Canis lupus familiaris: one gene and its partner. The protein of the gene in region 1 interacts with the protein of each later gene in a pairwise test. Links are inferred from orthologs where the notes say so. Each region holds a gene or a part of one and is shown in the gene's direction. Other genes may lie near its edges.

Region 1 (10,758 bases):
GGGCTTTCTCTTCTGTTCCATTGGTTTATGTGCCTGCTTTTGTGTCAGTATAGAAAGGTATAGAAAGGTCTTGTTTGTTATCCACTCAACCACTTTTGATTGGAGAATTTAGTCCATTTGCATTTAAAGTAATTATTGATAGCTACATACTTATTGCCATTTTGTTAATTACTTACTGGCTTTTTTTGTTCTGGGTGAGCCAGGCTGGGGCAAGGGATCAGAGCAAGCATTTGCTTTGGATCAGCCTCTTCATTCTTCAGTGTTCATTGAAAGAAGGGAGAAAGTCACAGTACAGGAGTGTGGCGATCAGGGGGAGGGGCTTTGGGCAGGTGGGCAGTCATTGGTCAGTCACACAGCTGTACTTGGACTCACCTGGTCTTTCCCCGCAGCCTGGGACTACAGCCAGGGCTTCGTAAATGAAGAGATGATCCGGGACCACCTTCCACCTCCAGAGGAGGAGCCACTGATACTGATGTGTGGACCCCCGCCCATGATCCAGTATGCCTGCCTGCCCAACCTGGACCGCGTGGGCCACCCCAAGGAGCGCTGCTTCGCCTTCTGATGGCCAGGCGCTGGCTGCTCGCACGCCTGCCCCGCATACTCACTGTGCCCTGTCCGCACCCACTCCTCCCTACCACTGCTCTTTAACATCACTTTCCCCCACATCTCCCACTGTGGTCCTGGGTTCAGCCTGGCCTGCCTGTTGCTTGGCTGGTTACCCCGCTGGGCTGGCCCCCGAGGGATCCCTTTGGGAGCAGGGTTCTGTTACAGGTGGGCCATCGCCAGCCACCTTCTGGGCCGGTACCTGTCTGGCCCTCATCGGTTCTTACCAGTGATGCTCGGCCCTGGCCCTGACCCTTCCCTACCTCCACCCCACCCACCCATACACTACTAGGCCAAGTCTGCAAGCACCATGCTCCACCCCACCCCGCCTCCCAAAGCAGACTACCCTCTGGAAATAAACACAAATGTACAGGCAGCCCAGAGCTGCAGGTGGCAGGGTCCCCCCCAGCCACTGCCTTGGGACCCTCACCTGCCACCCCTCACTACCTGCTCAGGGCCACAGCCAGGCCTTAGCACCTGACACTACATGACAGGTAACACCAAAAAGTCCCTTTGGCTGGGGCTGTGGGGGTGAGAGTCTGCCCCCACCCCAGGACCCAGGCAGGCCCAGTCAGCAGAGAGCTGGGCTCTCTCCCAGCCTGGAGTAGGAGGAGGGGGCTGGCTGAAGGCTCTTCAGGGGGCACCTCAGCCCTCCTGAAGCCTCAGCATCTCCCCAGCACATCTAAGCATCTGGGCGGCTTTGGGAGTTCCACGCCGTCAGCCCGGCAGTCTGATGGACCGCCTCGGGGCCCTGGGCTGCCAGTGCTTATGGCAGAGCTGAGACGATGTTTATTTATTCCTCTGTCCCAAACCCACCCGTCATGCTGCCCGCACCCCAGCACAGGGGAAGTTTTTGTCTGAGCAGCATTCTCAGTGACCTCGATGTTGCCTTTAGAAGGGTGGGTTCGCCTCTTGCATATGGGCTTTTTCAGAATCATTTATGAGCAGAAAAAAAAACATTGAAATAAAACTTTGCTAATACTAACCCTTTTGCAGTTCCTTGAGGCTCTGTGACTTGGGGCATTGTGGGAGAAGAGACAGGAAGGGCCCCAGCACTCACTTTTCGTGTGTTCATCGTGTAAGCTTTGGACTGTACAGAAAAGTATGCACAGGGGAAAAAAAATACTGTACATCCACAGGCAAATGCCTCTGTTGAAACCACATGGCCCACCATGGGGCTGCTGCTTTTCCTCCATCAGATGGGCTTTCCCCTGGGGTCACACATTCTCTAGAAGCCCACAAGGATCATAATTGATTGTATAGCAAATCCCCTACCCTTGGACAGTTAGGCTGCTTCCAGTTTGTGGACTTTGTAAACAGTGGTGGCCTTCATCCTCCTTTCAGATGATTTCTTTTTTTTTTTTAAGTAGGCTCCCCACCAACACTGGGCTTGAATTCACAACCTTCAAGAGTCACATGCTCTACTGAACTGAAGCCAGCCAGGTGCCCCTCCGATGATTTTTTTGAGGTTAGAGTCCTGGAGACAGAAAGTTGAGCCAGGGTGTATGGACTCTGGGAGTCCAGCCTGGAGTCCTCCCCTGGTGCCAGCCCCCTGACGCCCAGCCTTATTCACACCGCGTGAAAAGCTCTCTCCGCTCCTGTGTTGTCCAGCTCTGTATGTCCTCATTGTTTTCCTTTCTGTTTTCCCCTCTGAAAACCAGGGAGAAATCACTGGCCTTGGTTTCTGCTGGAGAGCCTGAGGCTCAGCCATGACTAGCCTTCAGGTAGGAAGCTGGGCCATGAGGTGAGGCAGGCACCGCTCTCCCCGTGGAAGGCGGCACAGGGGGCCCTAGCTCCCTCGTGCCTTCATGCACTGTTCCAAGTGCCGGAGACTTGGCTGCAGCCGCCCCCACACGCCCTCCCCTATTCCTGGGGTGCTGGTGAGAAAGACAAGTGCCAGACGGTGTCATGAGTGAAACAGCAAATGCCAAGACAAGTCAGGCCACGAGGCAACGTGGGAGTGAGTGCTGTTCTCTCTGAAGAGACAACGAAGCTGGCCCTGCTGGGGTAGGTGTTCAAGGTGATGGAACAGCACGTACAGATGCCTTGGGAACAAGCTTGGGGAATTAACTTTGAGAAACAGATGGAAGAAAGCAGGTGACTGAGGGGACAGCGGAAATGAGCCTGGAAAGGAAGCACAGTAGACGTGCTCTAGAGTGACCAGCAAGTGCAAAGGCCCTGGGGCAGAGACCTGGTAGGAACATCGTGAAGGCCAGTGTGACTGGAGCGGAGTAGGGAAGAGGAGAGGATGGGGGGGTGTGCAGGGAGGAATGCTGGAAGCCCAGCCTCAGGCCAGGGAGCCCCTTTCTCCTCTTTCCTCTCTTCCCGTCTCTTCTGGCCCTGGCCCACATCAGGAGTAGGGCTGGGACTCCTCAGTGGGCAGGGAAGGGCTTGGCCTGGGAATCCCTTCTGAACACCTACTGTGTGCTGGGGACCCTGCAGACACTGCGCTCAGGTCCCGTCTCCTCATCGTGACCCCCTTCTGGAGGATGGGAAAGCAGGCCTGAGTGTCGGGCTTTGAAGGTGCACCTGCCTGAGCTCACAAGGGGCTGTCCCCGGGAGCTGAGAAGGGCATGGATTGGACCTGGGCCCCCCCCCTCTCCTCGCCTCAGTTTCTCCATCTGTATAACAGGTGAGTGAACTAGGTCATGACTTGCCACCCTCTCAGACCTGACACCCTTTTAAAATAATATTTATAACACCCTCTTGAGCCTCTTGAAGTGGATTCACAGGTAATATTATGAGCTTGCATATAGAATTTTTAAAAATTGGGGCACCTGAACCTGGGTGGCTCAGCCAGTTAAGTCCCGATTCAGCTCAGGTCTGATCTCAGGGTCATGAGATCGAGTCCCGTGTCTGGCTCCATCTCAGCGCAGTCTGCTTGTGTTTCTGTCTCCTCCCTCTGCCCCCCCCCCAACTCTCGTGCTCTCTCTCTATATATATATAAAATAAATCTTCAAACAAAAAACATAAAACTCCAATCATATTAGAGCAAGAAAGGAAAGGAATTTATAAAAGGATACCACCACATTTCAGGGTGGCCGAAGTCCCCAGAAGGGGGGTGGGCAGGGGTCCCTGGACAGTCACAGCCCCAGATGCAGCCCGACTCCCAGTCTCTGCCCACAGGGACGCGGTTTTCCCAGGCAGGGCACAATCCTTGGTCTATTTCCAAACAAAGCAGGACCCAGTACGTTCCCAGCAATTCCACGTTTGCTCGCCTTGAGCAAAAAGTCCTACGTGTCCATACAAGATATGGAGGGAAGCCCTGCCTGGGAGTGTGATGCTCTTCGTCCCTCCCGGAACATGGGAACGTCGCAGGCATGGGGAGGGCCCTTGCCTCAGGATCGCCACATCCCTGTCCCCACCCTCCGCGTGACCGGATTCCAGATCCCCGTCCTCCAGACAATCAGCACCCTACAAAGCTCTACACCTTATGAAATGCCTCCAAGGGAAGGTCACCTCGATGATAGCTGACCTCAGCTAATAACCTCACTGAACTAGCTTGAAAAATAACCTTTAGGTCACTTTTTTTTTTACATTGCATTTAAGGCGTGACAGGGCTTTAACCCCTGGGGTCCCATGGCCCCTTCCACGTTCTTCTGCACCTGCCCTGCGCGGTCCAGGGGAGGGGAGGGTGCTGAGGCCCAACCTGGTCCCTGTGTCGTCGTCGTCCCCCCCCCCCCCCCCCCCGCTGCACTTCCGGGACGGAAGGAGAGAGGGAGGCAGGGAGGGGCTGGCGGGGTCAGGTCTGACGGCTGAGGAGGTGGGACCCGGCCCAGCCCCGCTGGCTTTGCCAGCTCTGGCCCGCACACCTTCTGCTGCCAGACTTTTAACTACGGTGCGGCCTGTCAACAGTACATGAACTCCGCGGGCATCAATGCACTTAGAAATTAATAATAGTAATAACTCACAGAGCACAGCGCCCTACGTGCTTTTTTTTTTTTTTTTTAATCGATTGATGCAGCAAACCTGTACCTCGCGCCAAGCTTACAGTGCTGGGGCCTGGGGCTGCCATCACAGACCAGGCAATTCCACCCATGGATTGTAACGTCTATTTCCTCCTCCCAACGACCGGTCATTCGCCCGGTTTTCTAGATCATCGGGAAGATCGGAGCGACTTGCGGGGGGAGAGTCAAGCCGCCGGGAAGCGCGGCTGGTGGGACGGGACCCAGGCGGTCCTGCAGCTCCGGCCAGTGAGCAGCCACCCCGGCAGCTGCGGTTGTCACCGGGCAGCGGCTGGCCTTAACCCTTGTAATGACGGGGGAAAGTTTCAGAGAACTGGGCGAGGTCATCGGCCTAAGGCTCACGGGGCCAGACGTGAAAAGCGACTTTTATTTTCATGCACCATAAATTGCAAAACGTCCGGAAATGGGACGCCTGGGGGGGCCCGTGGCTGAGCGTCTCGCTAGGCTCAGGTCCTGATCCCCGGGGTCCTGGGACCCAGTCCCGCGTAGGGCTCCCATGGGTGCCTGCCTCTCTCGGGAATAAACAAAATCTCTCAAAAACAACAAAAAAGATACAAAAACAAAACAAACCCCCCAAGCCCAGAGCCCGCGGAGGACCCGGCGAGGCAGGGGCGCCGGCCCGCTAGGAAGACTTGGAGGCCTCTCCGCCCGCCCGCCCGCCCGCCCGCCGACCGGGCCGCTCGTCTGCTCTTTCAGGGTAGGGGGGGGCCGGGCAGATCGCGGCTCCCAGGCATCCCGCAAAGTAGGCGGGTCACCTCAGGGGCGACCTTTACCCGCTCAAAAATTCGTCTCACATTAGCAGTGAGGATTCGGGCGTCACCCCGAATCGTTATTTTCCTTACTCATAAGTTTAAGGCATAAAGAGCTACACGTGTTACTCGCTGGGTAATGAATCCCCTTCTCATTAGCCCTACGGTGAGTAGCAGAGCGACCGTTAAACCAAGAGCCCAGGCCCTTCGCAGTTCGTCTCATTCACTTATTTAATTTTTTATATCACTCTCCATTTTATTTCTTCGCTGGGGAGAACCGGGAACCGTAGGTACTCGGAGCCCCCCCGTATGCAGATAAGCAGCTGGCGTCGCAAAGGCTCACGGGGAGCTCCCCGCCCCTTCCGGTTCTTGTCTTGGTTTGAGCTGTCGCGAGAGTTCGTCGGCCGGACGCCGGAAGCGGCTCGTTGCTCCGTAGCGGCCGAAGGGGCGGGCTCCAGGGCTGGGGGAGTCTCAGCTGCTCGCGGTTCGCTCGGCGGCGCAAGATGGCGGACATCTCCCTGGACGAGCTCATCCGGAAGCGCGGGGCTGCGACGAAGGGGCGGTGAGCGGCCCTTTCTCCCTCCGGTGCTCAGGGCCCGTGGCCTAGCGGGGCTCGGGGCGGGGGAGGGAGCGGCCCGGGAGCGAAGCGCAGCGCCGTGTGCGCCCGCCCCCTGCCGCAGCCGCGCTCCTCATTGGCCCGGCCCCGCCGCCTCCGCGGGCCCGGCCGCCGGGCGGTCCACACTGGCTGGGAGCGCCGTCGCTCCGGGGAGGCCGGGGGGGCCGGGGCGGCCGGGGCGGGGGGAGGGGGGAGGGCTCGCGGGGTCTCCCGGGGCCGCCCGGTCCGCCCGCGGGGGAGACTGGCCCTGGGCGCCGCGCTGCTCCTCGGTCTCCGCGCCGCCTTGGGGTTAGGACGGCCGAAGTTTAGCGGGGAAGTGACCCGCCCAGGCTCCGCCGATCTGCTGCCGGCGAGGCTGCGACCCAGACCTCAGCTCGCAGGCCCTGCGCGCGCTCCCCGGCTCCGCCGCCCCCGTTAACCCCCGCCTCGCCCGTGCGGCGGTTCACGTCCCCCGAGCGCTTTCGTGCAACCACCGTCCCGTTTTGCCCCCTTTCGCAGCCGTACCGGCCCCGTACCGTATTCGTATTTCTCCCGTTTTGCAGATGACGAGCTTGAGGCCGGGAGACGTAGAGGGACTTAACCCGAGGCCACGAAGAGTTCGTCCCCCTGAAAGTTGGGGGGCTGCGTGCCTTTTAGGAGCTGGCTGAGTTGGCCTCGGGCTTGGGCAAGAAAAAAAAACAAAACAAAACAGGTGGGCCCGGAGGTTAGAGCTTCTTGATGGTTGTCGGAGAAGACTGTTGTGGCTCCGAGTGCGGAGATGATTTGCGATGAGGTGCCCGGAAGTTGCTCCGGACCCTTAAACGTGGTCCGTCATTTCCAGCCTTTAATGAGCTCCAGCTCTCACCTGTTTGAAGTGGGACTGCGGCCAGCAGTTCTCCAGCATACGTGCGGTAGTTCACATGTCCTTGTAAACTGCCTGTAAAAATGTTAGACACGGTCTTCTCGGATCGGAAGTCATTCACTGAGCAGATGCTTGTTAATACCTCCCGCCTGCGGTGGTTAGAAAGTAGATCCTCTCCTTGGCTAACAAGTGCATCCCCACCGCCCCCAGCCCCCTGCACACATCCACTGCACCTGCCGCCACCGCGTACGTAGTTCACCAGCCAGCTATGCACCTGGCTTCTGGTTCATAACAGGCACACAGGAACCGTTAATTTGCTCAGCTGTTCTCTGAGTAGCTCTCTCCTAGGTCTTCCCGCTGGTAACTGGTGTGGAATTGGTGCTCGGTCCTCTGGCCACTTCTAAGACTGAGTTTCATCAGTTTGATGGACAGTTGCTGAATGAACCAACTACCCAGGACGTGCCCTTTCTGCAGTCACCCCCCTCTGTTCCTGACTGCAGACGGTCTGTACTGTCTGTTGGGTCTGTACTTTGTTGGCTCCGATGTGTGCAGAGTCTGGTGTTGGGCATTCGGTTGAGGATCCGTGGGATGACCGAGCACTGAGCCACCAGGCCGACCTGGTGCCCTGGTGGGCCTGTTGTTGGGTTCTGTGCCACCCTGGCAAGATGACTTCAGAGCTGGGACGTTTCCTCATTTGTAGTAATGGTTTCTGGCAGGTTGTTGAGAAGATTAGGTATGAAAATATAAAAATGTACATTTTAAAGTTTGCACCAAAAAAAAAAAAGTTTGCACCAGGTAGTAAGTGTTCAGCAAATGATAGCAATTATTGTGGATCTTCCCTTTAAAGGAGGAGAAGCCCAACCCCTCCCCCTGATGGGGAACATTAGGTTAGTGTTGAAGCCCTAGAGTCAAACTAAGATTTCGATTCCCTTCTCTCACTTTCCACGTGATCTTAGGTTACTTAACCATTCCATATCTCTCTTATTTATAAGATACAGATATTTATTAGGTGATTGCTAATGTAAAGTAGTTTGAAAGTATCTGATGGTTTTAAGTGTTCAATTAATGTTAGCTCTAATCATCATTACTGAAGGCTTTTAAATAAAGTAACTTTCCAGTTTTGTGTAAGAATATGTGAGAATATTACTCTGCTCTTACACAATGATTGGATTGGGAGATTGTGCAGAGACTAGAGCTGTCTACATGCTAGTTTGGCCTACATGCTGTATTTGGATTAAACCTGGTAGAAACTTCAGTTTTGGGCGCCTGAGTGTCTCAGCATCTGCCTTAGGCTCAGGGTATGATCTGGAGTCCTGGGATCAAGTCCCGAGTCAGGATCCCTATGGGGAGCCTGCTTCTCCCTCTTCCTGTGTCTCTGCCTCTTTGTGTCTCTCGTGAATGAATAAATCTTTTAAAAACTTTTTTTTTGTTTGTTTTTGTTTTTGTTTTTTTACCTTGCAAAGCCAGTGAACTACATCTAGGGCATCCCTGTCAAAAACTGAAAGGTCTCAGCTAATGGCAGTGAACAAATGTCGTTTCCTTCAGTAACTATATTGTCTTACATGCTTCCTGGAAGAATTCTTCCTTCCTGGGAACTGTGGGATGGCATTGCATGGAGGTCCCAGGAAAAACTTTGTGCTTGATAATTTAAGTAGAGCCAGTGATTATCTCTTCCTCTTAGTGGAAATAGCACAAGAACCTGTAGAAGTGTAGGGACGCCTGGGTGGCTCAATGGTTGAGCATCTGCCTTCAGCTCAGGGTCCCAGGATCAAGTCCCACATTAGTCTCCCCTCTACCTATGTCTCTGCCTTTCTCTCTGTGTCTCTCATGAATTTAAAAAAAAAAAAAAAAAGAAGGAAAGGAAAGAATGAACCTGTGGAAGTGTAAATAACGTGTTTCCCCACAGGTCATGGAATGTGCTTGTTCTTTAGTGCATCCATTCTGTTTTGTGTTCATCACACCTTGTAAGCCTAGAAAGGGGTCATTACCATTATTACCAGGGTCCTGAATTAATCTTATCAAAAGATTTCCCTGGGGCAGCCTGGGTGGCTCAGCAGTTTAGCACCATCTTCAGCCCAGGGCCTGATCCTGGAGACCCAGGATCGAGTCCCACATCCGGCTCCCTGCATGGAGCCTGCTTCTCCCTCTGCCTGTGTCCCTGCCCCCTGCCCCCTCTCTGTGTCTCTCATGAATAAGTAATACAGTCTTAAAAAAAAAAAAAAAAAAGATTTCCCTGATTAACCTGCAAATAAAGAGTTTTGTGTGATACTTCACTCAGCCATGGTGAGGCGCTGTCCCTCACCATGCACAGCTTGACTTTGTTGACTTTGGTTGCCCAAGACCTATGGAGGAGTCTCCCCTGGACAGCTCACGGCACCAACTGCAATGCGGGCCTGTTCTTGTTGGTGTTTTCCTTAAAACATGAGCGTGCTGCTGCTGGTCAAGTTTGCAGAGTCGCCCACCCTGGTTTGATTAGTTTAGCTCTTGGAAGATAATTGTCCACTGCCACCTTCTGGTTAGAGAATGTTCATGAAAGGCGGCAGGCCGTTGTAGTGGAAAGGTTGGGCATGTGCTGCCCTGAGCAGCTCTGGCCCAGATGCCCTGCCTGGGTAGTTCTTGGAGCCGTGGAGAAGGAGGTCGGTCAGCTTTTCAGTTCAGGCCAGGGCTCTGGTCCTAATACTTATTGCTTGTTTGCTTGTTGAAATAAGATAAAAGAAATGTAGACCTAAAACAAAGGGGAGGAAAATTAGTTATTATGTAACATGGAGGGGAAGAAATAGATTTAAGGGACGCCTGGTAGCTCAGCAATTGAGCATCTGTCTGCCTTCGCTCAGGGCGTGATCCCAGAGTCCTGGGATCAAGTCCTGCATCGAGCTCCTTGCGAGGAGCCTGCTTCTCCCTCTGCCGGTGTCCCTGCCTCTTTCTCTCTCTGTGTCTCTCTCCTGAATAAAAAAAGTAGAAATCTTAAAAAAAAAAAAAAAAAAGGATCTAAAACAAAACATTTGCACAAGACTTTCTTGGAGGGTAAGGGGATGCTATCCTGTTTCTCTGTGTCTGCAAAGCGCCTAATTCAGGATTGATTCTCCATAACAGAACTAAACCGTGTTTTCTCCATGTAAAGGTGACCTCAGGACACACAATTCTAACCCAGAGACCCTATGCATTAAAATCCACCTTCTACTAATAAACCAGGGTTCCCCTTTATGGGCCTGGATCCTTTGGTCTGGACATCTGTCCAGAGCCAGCTCTGGTCGGGGTGTGGCAGAAAGCACTGAGGTTCCAGTGGGGACATTGGCCCTGTCACCCCCAGCGCCCTTCCCAGAACCCCATGGAGTACCTAGTAGGGCCCTGGAACCAGGGTGGGTGCATTGTTTCAGTGTGGCAGGGTGGGGCAGGCCAGAGCCTTGCTCCAAACCTCCCCCACCCTTCTCCCAAACATTTACTGAGGCCCAAAGTGCAGAATGTGTTTCAGGAACATCAGATAGTGTACAGTGGGAGGTGAGGCTGCAGGTAGGAGCTGGGGCCAGTCCAGAGGCTCTGCTGAGGGGCTGGGCTTTGTTAGGAAGCCCTCCGCAGTTCTTGGAACAGGAGGGTAACACCATGGACTCTGTGTTTTGGAGACCCACTCCTAGCAGGAGTGTTTATTTGAAAAATTCCTGATGACTAATGCCTGCCTTGTACCCAGCACTGCTGCCTGCTGGGATGAATAGCCGTCTTTTCATGCAAGAGGAGGAGCAGTGATTATAAAAAGCCTGAACACTGAAGCCCCGAAAGCTGTTCATGAAAGGAGTTGAAAGAACTGGTGTAACCAGGGAACTGAATGCCATGAATTGAGGGGAAGTAACTTAACTCACGCTCCTCCATCCCCAGCCACGTCCCCTCCCTCTCCCAGATGGACCTGTTGTACTGTTCAGAGAGATTCAAAAGACCAGCACAAGGCATCTCGGTGATCTTTCTTGCCACACAAGCGGTCTGGTGTGTGGG
Region 2 (10,822 bases), on another chromosome or scaffold:
CCTAGAGCTCTGGTGCAAACAGCTTGCTCATGTTACCAGCTCTGTGGCAAAGAGGAGACATACTCAGATAAGTAACAATCCTCAGATAATCAATCTAAAATCCCATTTTGGTCATGGTTTATAGTTTAACTTCATTCATCAATCAGAGCACCTGCTAAGCGGGGTTAATTCTAGGTAATGTTAATTGTAGGCTCCCAACCTACTTACACAGCTTTTTCCTTTAGAGCCAAAGGGAGCTCGTTAACAACTGAATCTAACATTATAAGATAGTGCTCAACCTAGAGGTTCCAACTCCTTCACCACACGGGACTTCCTTTATGTAAGGTATGCTTTGGCCTCCTTCATAAGTTTACTTTTTCTCCTTACCATATGCTTGAAGAAGAGAGCATCCTGAAAATCACTTACTCATTAAGTGCTTTCAAGAATCAGATATCTTTTCCTTTGTTTTAGAAATCATTTAGGCATAAAGGTAAAGTCGCTATGTCAGAAAGCAAGAAGTTAGAAAAGCATCAAGAAAGTTAGTTTGGGGGCAAGGAATGTTGAAAAAAGTGACAGAGATCAATGTCACATAAACCTCTTTTAGATGGTCAGATACAGCAGGTAGGCACTACTGCTACAGCAATTTCCAGGTTACTTAATTTTAGCTCATTTCTAAATAATAATCCTGCCATAATTAATGGTTTTTTGAACTTTTATTCCAGATCTGAGAAATTCTGAGGAAAAAAATAGTACTGAATGACAGAATAGCAGATAAATTAAGAACATGAATAAATAGCATATCTTTTCATTTACATGAAAATGAACTGTAAAACAAATTAGATTTATTGGTCTCTTTATTTATAATAACCCTAGTCCCTAAGAAAAGCCAGATTCCCTTAAAAAGTAGTTTAGCCAATGTAGGAACCTAGGGAGCTATTTTCTAAGAGTAGAAACTGTGCTTCCCTGCCCCCGTGAATGAAATTTATTTTTTACAAATTTATCATCTCACTAGTTTCATGATACATCAATCTACAATAGTATAATCTGTCTAGAAAAAAATGTTTAATTTCTAGAAGACTGAAAACAGTTGAATTCTAAAATGTCTAAGTTATATGTAACTTTCATTTTTATTCTAACAGCTCGATGCACTGTTCCTATTGCAATAATAAACAGACATTATGAATATGATTTATAGCATTTTAAGACCTACAGTTGGGGGATCCCTGGGTGGCGCAGCGGTTTGGCGCCTGCCTTTGGCCCAGGGCGCGATCCTGGAGACCCGGGATCGGATCCCACGTCGGGCTCCCGGTGCATGGAGCCTGCTTCTCCCTCTGCCTGTGTCTCTGCCTCTCTCTCTCTCTCTCTCTGTGACTATCATGAATAAATAAATAAAATCTTTAAAAAAAAAAAAAAAAAAAAAAAAAAAAGACCTACAGTTGGAAAAGACCACTTGGCCATCAATTCAGATAGCCATAAATGACACATCATACTGATTATTAATGCCTTGGTTAGTTACACCACACATGGACACATTTCGTTTCAGTGAAAAAGAAAATAGCAGATACCTGCATATCACAAAAATCAATCAAGACAGTTCAAGAAAATACTGATATTGGAAAAGCTCTAACCATTTTATAGAAATAAAAAGTTTTACTGATTTATTTGAATTAACTATAATTTTTGATAAATGTTACCTCAGTTTTTAAATATATAAACCAACTTAAATCTCACAAATGTCAGTGCTAATAAGGTCAATTAAATTCTAATGCAGCTATTCGAAAATATGGTTCACGTCAGAATAAAGCAGGCTCACAAAGCCCCGGACAGGCGGCCCAAATGAGTGAAGTAGGCTTCAAGGCCAAGGAGTGCTGTGACCATCTCCTGATACTCAGCTCTAGCCAACTGCTGCCTTGAGGGAATAGACACAAATCAATAATAATGAAAATAAATACTCTGCTACTCTAACAAAGTAAAAGTCTGTGGGGTAGCTTTGGTATGACTACCAGCTTGCTCTTTCACGAAGTTCTTTCAGGACTGGCAGTGAAACTGGGCCTATTTTACTGCTGAACCCCAAGATACTCATGAAATACTGTTCCCTCCGAATGTAGTAGTTTTTCCTCACTAAATCTTTTGAGCACTGTGCATGTTGTGAACTCTTTATGAAGAACTTATCTGCATTTTCACTGAACAATGGTTTCATCTTTCTTCCTCACTAATGGCTGGTCGAGTAATGACAAATTAACAAATTAACCCAAATGTTAAAACATATTAACAGAAAATTCATTTCTAAGCAGATCTGAAACAACTTCAAATATCCATTCTAGTGCCCTCTTTCTTTAAAAGGAAATGTGAGGGATCCCTGGGTGGCTCAGCGGTTTGGCGCCTGCCTTTGGCCCAGGGCATGATCCTGAAGTCCCAGGATTAAGTCCCACGTCCTGCTCCCTACGTGGAGCCTGCTTCTACCTCCGCCTGTGTCTCCGCCTCTCTCTCTTTGTGTGTTCTCATGAACAAATAAATAAATCTTTAAAAAAAAAATTAAATAAATAAATAAAAGGAAATGTGAGTTAAGAACAATCTGATTTAGGGATGCCTGGGTGGTTCAGTGGTTGAGCGTCTGTCTGCCTTTGGCTCAGGTCCTGATCACAGGGTCCTGTGATCAAGTCTTGCAGGGGGCTCCCCACAGGGAGCCTGCTTCTCCCTCTGCCTGTGTCTTCGCCTCTCTCTGTGTCTCTCTCATGAATATATAAATAAAATCTTTTTAAAAATCTATTTTTCTCATCTTCATTCTAACACAAAAAAATTCAAAACGCCGGAAAACTTTTGGATTCTAATCCAAAAGACTACCTTCCCCCCCACAAAAACTATGCTTTATTTTCTCCAAATGAGGAGTAATACTGATTTCTACGTATATGGACAAATAATAGTCTCCATTTACATTTCTTGAGAGCAACTGGAACCTTGATTCCTTGGAATCCCTGGGAATCAAAAGAACGTTATGGTGCTTCTTTCCAGGAAAATACACAGAGCCCTAAATTTTTGTATGCAATTTCACAAGATTCAGAGTACCCCAGGATCTCCAGGGGGTCTGCCCACCCCACGTTAAGGACTCCGATGCTTAAAATAAGGTTCCTTTCTATTATGAAATTCTATGTATCTTTTTTATTTTTTTAAAGATTTTATTTATTTATTCATGAGAGACACACAGAGAGAGAGAGGCAGAGACACAGGCAGAGGGAGAAGCAGGCTCCATGCAAGGCGCCCCATGCAGGACTCGATCCCGGGGCCCCAGGATCCTGCCCTGGGCCAAAGGCAGGTGCTAAACCGCTGAGCCACCCGGGGATCCCCTCTATGTATCTTGTTAGAAGACAGTCTTTCTTAGTAAGACCTTTAGCTCTGAGATACGTTGGGGAAGCAGCTTCCCTTTCTTTACAACTTTCCCTACTTCCTACCAGCCATCCTGAAAGCTGACAGAAAATTGAGAATTTCTTACCTCAGAGAAATTAACAGCCAAGGGAACGATTCCAGCCACGTAACATCCCACCAACATAGCCAGAGAGAGCAGACTAATGGAGATGAAATCATCCATTCTGTCCTCCTTTATTTGCCCACCGCCACCAGAACTGCAAATTTTCAGGGGCCTCAAAGGGTCCTTAGGTTCTTAAACGCGTATAGTGATTCCAACAGAACAAGGGGACTTTCCAGGTCGTCCGTCCTCCCCACTAGATGTGTTCAGAAACCCCTTTCTCTGGAACGCGCCTGGAACTAGCCCCTTTTTGCTGATATTAGCACCAGAGAGAACTTTCATCAATCTCAGGTCCCGGCCCCTGCGTTTTCAGATGCCAGTCACTGGATTCCCTGGGGTTTACGGTTAAAGGTATGCAAAAGAGCGATTTCTTCAATCGTCGGAGGGGTGGCACAATGGGCCCACTTCCTCCACGGACAACGTCCCAGATGGCAGCAAGAAAAAGGAAAACTCGAGCAGACTTGTTCGTTCTCCCGGCGCCCCTACGTCCCCGGGGCAGTCTTCCCCCAGGCTGGGACCAGCCCACCAGTCCCGGCAAACTCTCCTCCGAGTCTAGAACGGGCAAAGAGTCCCGCAGGTCTCTAACGATGGGCTTAGGGGTTCAGCAGGGAAGCTGATACAAAGCTGTCTCTGCCCTATACCCGGTGCTGCCCATATTACTCCACTCCGCTGGGCCTCGACCCGGAGCCACCGATACTACAGCTGCCATGGCCGCCAAGTGGCACCTCTTCATTACATCCACTTCCGGATTGCTTCACCGCCCCCTCCTTTAGAAGAGTACTTCCGGGTTACAACCGACCTATGGCCCGGGATTCTTAGGCTACCGCCATTTTTGAGTAGGGCTAATTAAAGAGGTCTGGTGTCAGAGTCCATATATATCTGTGTTCACTCTAGTCGTGCGTCTAATGGCGAGAATATGGAAGACCGTGTCTCGAGAAGAAACGATTTTTTTTTTTGAGAAGAAACGATTATTTTTCCAGTTCTGGAGCAATTACCTGTATCTAGCTCCTCGCCCTTATCCAAGATGGCTGAGCCAGAGTCGGTATCCGCTCTAGCTGCCGGAAATGTGTTCGCTTCTATGGTCCAAAAGGCTCTTTCGCGGTGCGTTTCTGACGACTTCCGGCGGCTCCTCTCGCGGGGATTGGCTGTTGGCGGCGTTGCGGCTAAGCTCGTGTGCGGCGGCGGTGTCGGCAGCGGCTGCGGCGAGAGAGTTTGGCGCGATGGTGAGAAAGGCCTCGGCGGCTCCCCGATCCCCCGGCCTCTGAGGCGATCCCAGCCGTGTACATCTTGTCCCCAGCCCATCCAGCGCGAGAGTGCAGCTCCCCGGCCCGCCAGCTTGTGGCGCGACCTCTCCCCTTCCCGCCGCGGGGCCGCGGGGCCGCTGGGCCTGGCGCTAGGCCCCGGAGCCCGGGTCCGCCCGGGTCCGCCCGGGTCCGCCCAGGTCCGCCCTGCGTTTGCGCGCCCGCGGCCGAGGTCCGGCGAGGCGTGCGGTGCGGAGGATGCGCTTCCTCCCGCGAGCTGCGTGGGGATGCTGCGCTTTTCCCCCAGAGTCTGGCCCGATGTGGGAACAATGGCCGAGGGATGTCTGACAAACCTGCGCCTGAAGCTGACAGATGGGGTGTGCTGCGCCCAGCGTGTGGGCCGGGAGGGGTCGTCTTTGCTTTGTAGCGTGCTTTCTCAGGCATCCCCTTTTGTTTTGCTGGGCTCCGTCCTCAAACAGACATACAACGTTTCTTTCCCCTCTTTTCCGAGACCCCAGAGGCCTGATCTGGCGTTTCTCCCGGCCCTCAATCCTGTTCTTACTCATTCTCTCTGGGACTCAAAGCTGAAAAGAAGATGGGCTCAGCTGAGGGTCCAGGTTCCTTAGAATCGGATCGGGGTGGTAGTGCAGTGAGTGGGTATTTTGTTCGTGTTTTTGTTTTTTTTTTTTTATTTCATTTTTATTTACTATTATTTTTTTTAATTCCGCCAAAAAGAAGGTGATCCACAGGGATTATGAGGAATCGTGGTTCTTCCGCACTTCAACCTCGGTTTTCTGATCGCTGGGGTTAAACGTTAACAGGTTACGCAGCTGTTGTTAACAAGGAACTCTCTGAGGTTGCACCTTTCTGAATTGAGGTGTTTTTAAGTGTTTGACCCAACGTGGTCTCCCAGAGGCGACTGAGCAATCGGAAGGCTGGGTCTCCAGTTCTTTCTTGTTTCGTCATAATTGGCAGTGTGACTTTTGGAAGACTCTGTATCTCTGAGTTTCCCTTCTTTCTCTGCCCTTTATGTCACTCTTTGGTAACGTGTTATAATGGTAAGATTCAAATCTGAGGAAGGGACAGCAGTTAATACCAACGGAGCCTTTCTGGGTGAGCAAATAGCAGTGATAATACCTTCTCAGTCCAAGTGGCTTTAAGAGCTACGAATTTGTAGATAAAGCAAACAATTATTGGTTCAGTCGTCGTATGTACTTCTGCTTTATTAAAGACAAGCTTCAAGGGGTGGGGATTTTTTGTGGGGTTTTTTGGTAGTTTGGCAGAAGCACCTGAAGCTAATGACCTAGTCCTGTGTATTGTAATATTTCTGTAGCAGTAGAAGGATGACTCAGTTCATGTGTAAGAATTTTAAGAGTAGGACCAGATTAACTATTCATTAAAGTGGTTTACATCTGCTTGGTAATCAGAATAAGGATTTTATTAAAGTATATCTGTGTACCTTTTCCTGACTTAGGTTTTGCAACCTTATTTTTCTGTTGTGAGAAGTATATATGTATTTGTTTACGTGTACTTGTATTTTGCATACATATTTGTTTTTTTTAATAAAACCAAACGGCTTTGGAAATAGCTCCAGTAAAAAGAAAGTGACCAAAACTGGTTTGGGAAGCTTTCTGGTCTTAAAATGTTAAAAGCAAAATACTGCCACTTAAAAATAATACCCATTTCAGCTACAGTTTTGTAAATTTAGTCATTTTTTTTCTTCGTTTTTAATCGTTGTCTTTGAGTACTAAGTATTGAAAATAGTGAGCTTTCTCAGAAGTTCACTTTAAGACTAGATGTAAAAAGTAGCGTATTGAATAGCCGTTTGCATATCATTACTTTTTTGAAGTAAATTAGTCCCTTAATTTTCATCAGAATGAGAACAAAATTAAATAGTAGTGACTGATACGACTACTGTGACTCCGTTATTGTGCTAAGGATAGAAAAAGAACATAGATCCACTACTTACAGTCATAAATAGTATTTCTCTTTTTCTCAGCCTACTTCTAAATTTTTATTAAAGCACTTAATAGGGGCACCTGGGTGGCTCAGTAGTTGAATGGCTGCCTTTGACTCAGGTTGTCAAAGTCCCACATCGGGCTCCCCACAGGGAGCCTGCTTCTCCCTCTGCCTATGTCTCTTTCTCTCTGTATGTCTCATGAACGAATAAATTTTTTTTTTTTTAAGGCACTTAATAGGGCTGGAGATAGAAAGTGACCAGTGGAGATAGAAAATCTAAGTGGGTTTATAATCTAGTTGGGAAGAAAGGAAGAAAAAACAGTAGAAGGTAACTCATGCTGAATGCTTAGAGGCAGTAAGTACAACAGTTGCAGAAAGCAGCCCTTAAGGACAGGGAGTCCGAAGAGACCTTACAGAGTTGTTCAGCCATCATCTGACACCACACTTGAACAAAAGCATAAATGTAAGAAGAGCACCCTGATTAATAGTGCATTAATAACCAATGATCATTTGTGTCATGACTAGAGATTTTATATCATACTATGAATTTCTCAAATATGAGTTAGAAACTTAAATTGAAATCCCTTTTCTCCCTGCAGTCTCACACCATTTTGCTGGTACAGCCTACCAAGAGGCCAGAAGGCAGAACTTACGCTGACTATGAATCTGTGAATGAATGCATGGAAGGTGAGTTTAAGCACTAATGAAGAGTTTTTATTTTTGTTTTCTTGATCTTCACTATTAGAATATGTCTCATTTAGGAACTAGGCTTGTTTTTCCTCCAGATTTCTCAAGTTATTAATTTGAGCCAGGAAGGAAGAAGATACTAGGGACCGTATTTGTTGAAAATTGAAACATTGATTATAGGTATTGTCCTTCTGCTGCAAGTATTTTTTTTTAAATCCAGCTCCCGTGATTACAGTGAATGGCCTTCTGAAGCCTCCCTCTGTGGATATTCCGTTATTCATTATGTAAATATCTTACAGTTCTTGTGTATTCTGGTTAGACTCAAACACTATAGAGTTGTTAAGACAGGCTCTAGGGATACCTTCAGAACCTATTAGTCTGCTGATTGAACAAATAAGCATTAAAAGCTTTTGAGGTTTGAGTATACTCCATCAGCGTTAGAAGATAAAAATTAGCTCAGAGAATAAAGGCAAATGGAACCAAATAAGTATCATTTATTGTGTACTTGATAAGCTGACACCACCCTGAAGGGAACTATTAGCCCTTAATGCTGCTTTACTCAGTAAACCATTAGATGAGAGCGCATAGATTGGATCATCACAAATTGGATTCATCCTTACATTTAATCATTATATCGAGTAAACCAGTTGTGCACATTCTGCACCCTTTTTAGCAAATTGTCCGTTCTTCTTTCTTTTTTTTTTTTTTTTTTTTTAATTATTTATTTATGATAGAGAGAGAGAGAGAGAGAGGCAGAGACATAGGCAGAGGGAGAAGTAGGCTCCATGCGCCAGGAGCCTGACGTGGGATTCGATCCCGGGTCTCCAGGATCTCGCCCTGGGCCAAAGGCAGGGCTAAACCGCTGCGCCACCCAGGGATTCCGGTTCTTCACTTCTTTCTATAAAGATTTTATAGTCACTGTTTTTGCAATTGGGCATGTCCTTGAATTTGTTGATTATCCAGAGCTAACTGGGTTAGCCTTAAAATCTGTCCTTATAAAGCCAACAATGGGTAGATCTGTGGGGGGAAAAAACTACTGGTAATAATTAGAGACAGCTTCTAGGTAATTGGTACCATGCCTTCCTGATTGTAGATTCTCTTAATTTTCAAAGAAGAGCAGCTCTTGTCCTTCCCTCATTTTAGGACCTTTCCTTTGCTGACCATTCAGGTAGACTCTGTGCACGTTCTGCCTTAGCACATTATTGTCTTACCTGTATTATGTTTGGTCTTTAATTTCACAATACTCTGCCAACCTTTGCTATTTTAATGAATCCTAACTTTCTCTTTTTCATTAATACACTTTATTTCTAGAGCAGCTCAAGGTTTACAGAAAAACTGAACAGAAAATACAGGGTTCCTAACGTACTCCCTTTCCTCACCTCCACAGTGTCTCCCATTAATAACACCTTAACAAAAATAATAATAACACTTAACGTTGATGTGGTACGTTTGTTGCAGTTGATGAAACCAGTATTTTTTTTTTTTTAAGGATTATTTATTTGTGAGAGAGAGAGTGCCCATGCAAACAAGCGGGGAGAGGGGGAGAGGGGCAGAGGGAGAAGCAGACACCCTGCTAAGCAGGGAACCCAGCTTGGGCTTGATCCCAGTACCCTAAGATCATGACCTGAGCCGCCGAAGGCAGATGCTTAACCAACTGAGCCACCCAGGTGCCCTGGTAAACCCAATATTGCTACATTATTATTACTAACTAAAGTCTACTGTTAACTAAAATCTGTTATTAACTAAAGCTTATATTGGGCCCTTCATGTTGTACAGTTCTGTGGATTTTACTAGATGCATAACATATATTCATCGTTACAGTATCATACAGAATAATTTTCACTTACCTAAAAATCCCTGTGCTGCACTTGTTCATTCATCCCTACTTCACCTTCTGCTGTCCTGGCAACTGTTGGTCTCCTTGCCACCTCCATAGGTTTGCCTTTTTCAGAATGTCAGAGTTGGACGGTCTTGTTTCATTTAGCAATATGCATTTAAGGTTCTTCCATGTCTTTTTAAATTAAGTTTTTTAGGATAGTTGTAGGCTTACAGGAAAATTGGTTCAAAGTACAGAGAATTCCATCACACCCCTTCTTCCCTACTCCCTCTTTTCAGTTTCTCTTACTTATATTCTATATTAGTGTGATACATTAGTTACAACTATAGAGCCAATACTGATACATTATTGATTAAAGGCCATAGTTTATTTTAGTGTTCAGTCTTTGTTTTGGACATCTTACGGGTTTTGATTTATTTATAATACTGACAAGTATCTACCATTTACTGCCCTGAAAAATCTCTGGTGCTTTACCTGTTCCTCCCCCCAAATCTCTGGCAACCACTGGTCTTTTAAATGCCTCCATAGTGTCAACCTTTTCCAAAATGTCCTGTAGTTGAAATTATGTAGTATATAGCTTTTTCAGGTTGGCTCTTTCACAAAACAGTGGTTTTTTGTTTTTGTTTTTTAAGATCTTAATTTATGTATTAGAAGGGGCACAAGCAGGGGGAGGGGCAGAGAGAGAGAGAGAGAGCAGCAGATTCCCCACTGAGTGGGGATCTCAGAGTCCTAAGATGGAGATTTGAGCTGAAGTCATATGCTTAACCAATTGAACCATGCAGATGTCCCAAAAGAGTGTCCTTTTAAGGTTCTTCCATATCTTCATGGCCTGGTAGCTAGCTCATTTCTTTTTATTTCTGAGTAATCCATCATTTGGATATACCACAGTTTGGTTATCCATTTACCCACCAAAGGACATCATAATTGCTTTCTCGTATTGGCAGTTACAATAAAACTGCTACAAACATTCATGTGCGCCTAAGTTTTCAACCCCTTTAGGTAAATGCTGAGGAATGTGATCATTGCATCATATGGTAAGATTGTGTTTAGCTTTGTAAAAAGCTGACACACTGTCTTCAGATGTGGCTGTGCCATTCTGTGTTCTCACCAGCAATGAATGAGAATTCCTATTGCTCCACATTCTTCTCCACATTTGGTGCTGTCAGTGTTCTGGATTTCTGTGATTCTGATAGGTATATAGTGATAACTCATTTTAATTTGTAGTTTTCTAATGATATGTTGTGTATCTTTTTATAATAGTTATTTGCCATTTGTATATTTTCTTTGGTAAGGTGTCCAGAACCCTAACCCACTTTTTAGATGAGGTGTTTATTTTTTTTATTGTTGAGTTTTATAAGTTCTTTGTATGTTTTGGATACTAATTCTTTATCAGATAATATGTTTTGCAGAGATTTCCTCCTAGTCTGTGTCTTGTCTTTTCACTTTCTCGATAGTGTCCTTGAAGCACCAAAGGTTTAAATTTTGATGAACTCTGGGATCCCTGGGTGGCACAGCGGTTTAGCGCCTGCTTTTGGCCCAGGGCGCGATCCTGGAGACCCGGGATCGAATCCCATGTCGGGCTCCCGGTGCATGGAG

What was found.
Region 2: the proteins of POLDIP3 (region 1) and ERH interact in a two-hybrid assay, tested with the Homo sapiens proteins (2 studies listed by BioGRID, with this or other methods). The link is inferred for Canis lupus familiaris from reciprocal best matches to the Homo sapiens genes POLDIP3 and ERH.

Annotation. Positions count from the first base shown.
Region 1 is NC_049231.1:23,804,530-23,815,287, forward strand, and holds the start of POLDIP3 (polymerase delta-interacting protein 3), read left to right. Parts: upstream 1-5,713; 5' UTR 5,714-5,820; coding exon 5,821-5,879; intron 5,880-10,758. Other genes in the region: CYB5R3 (NADH-cytochrome b5 reductase 3), read left to right, coding at 390-562. UniProt on the Homo sapiens protein: Is involved in regulation of translation. Is preferentially associated with CBC-bound spliced mRNA-protein complexes during the pioneer round of mRNA translation. Contributes to enhanced translational efficiency of spliced over nonspliced mRNAs.
Region 2 is NC_049229.1:43,497,367-43,508,188, reverse strand, and holds the start of ERH (enhancer of rudimentary homolog), read left to right. Parts: upstream 1-4,551; 5' UTR 4,552-4,566; coding exon 4,567-4,725; intron 4,726-7,301; coding exon 7,302-7,389; intron 7,390-10,822. Other genes in the region: SLC39A9 (zinc transporter ZIP9), read right to left, coding at 3,470-3,565. UniProt on the Homo sapiens protein: May have a role in the cell cycle.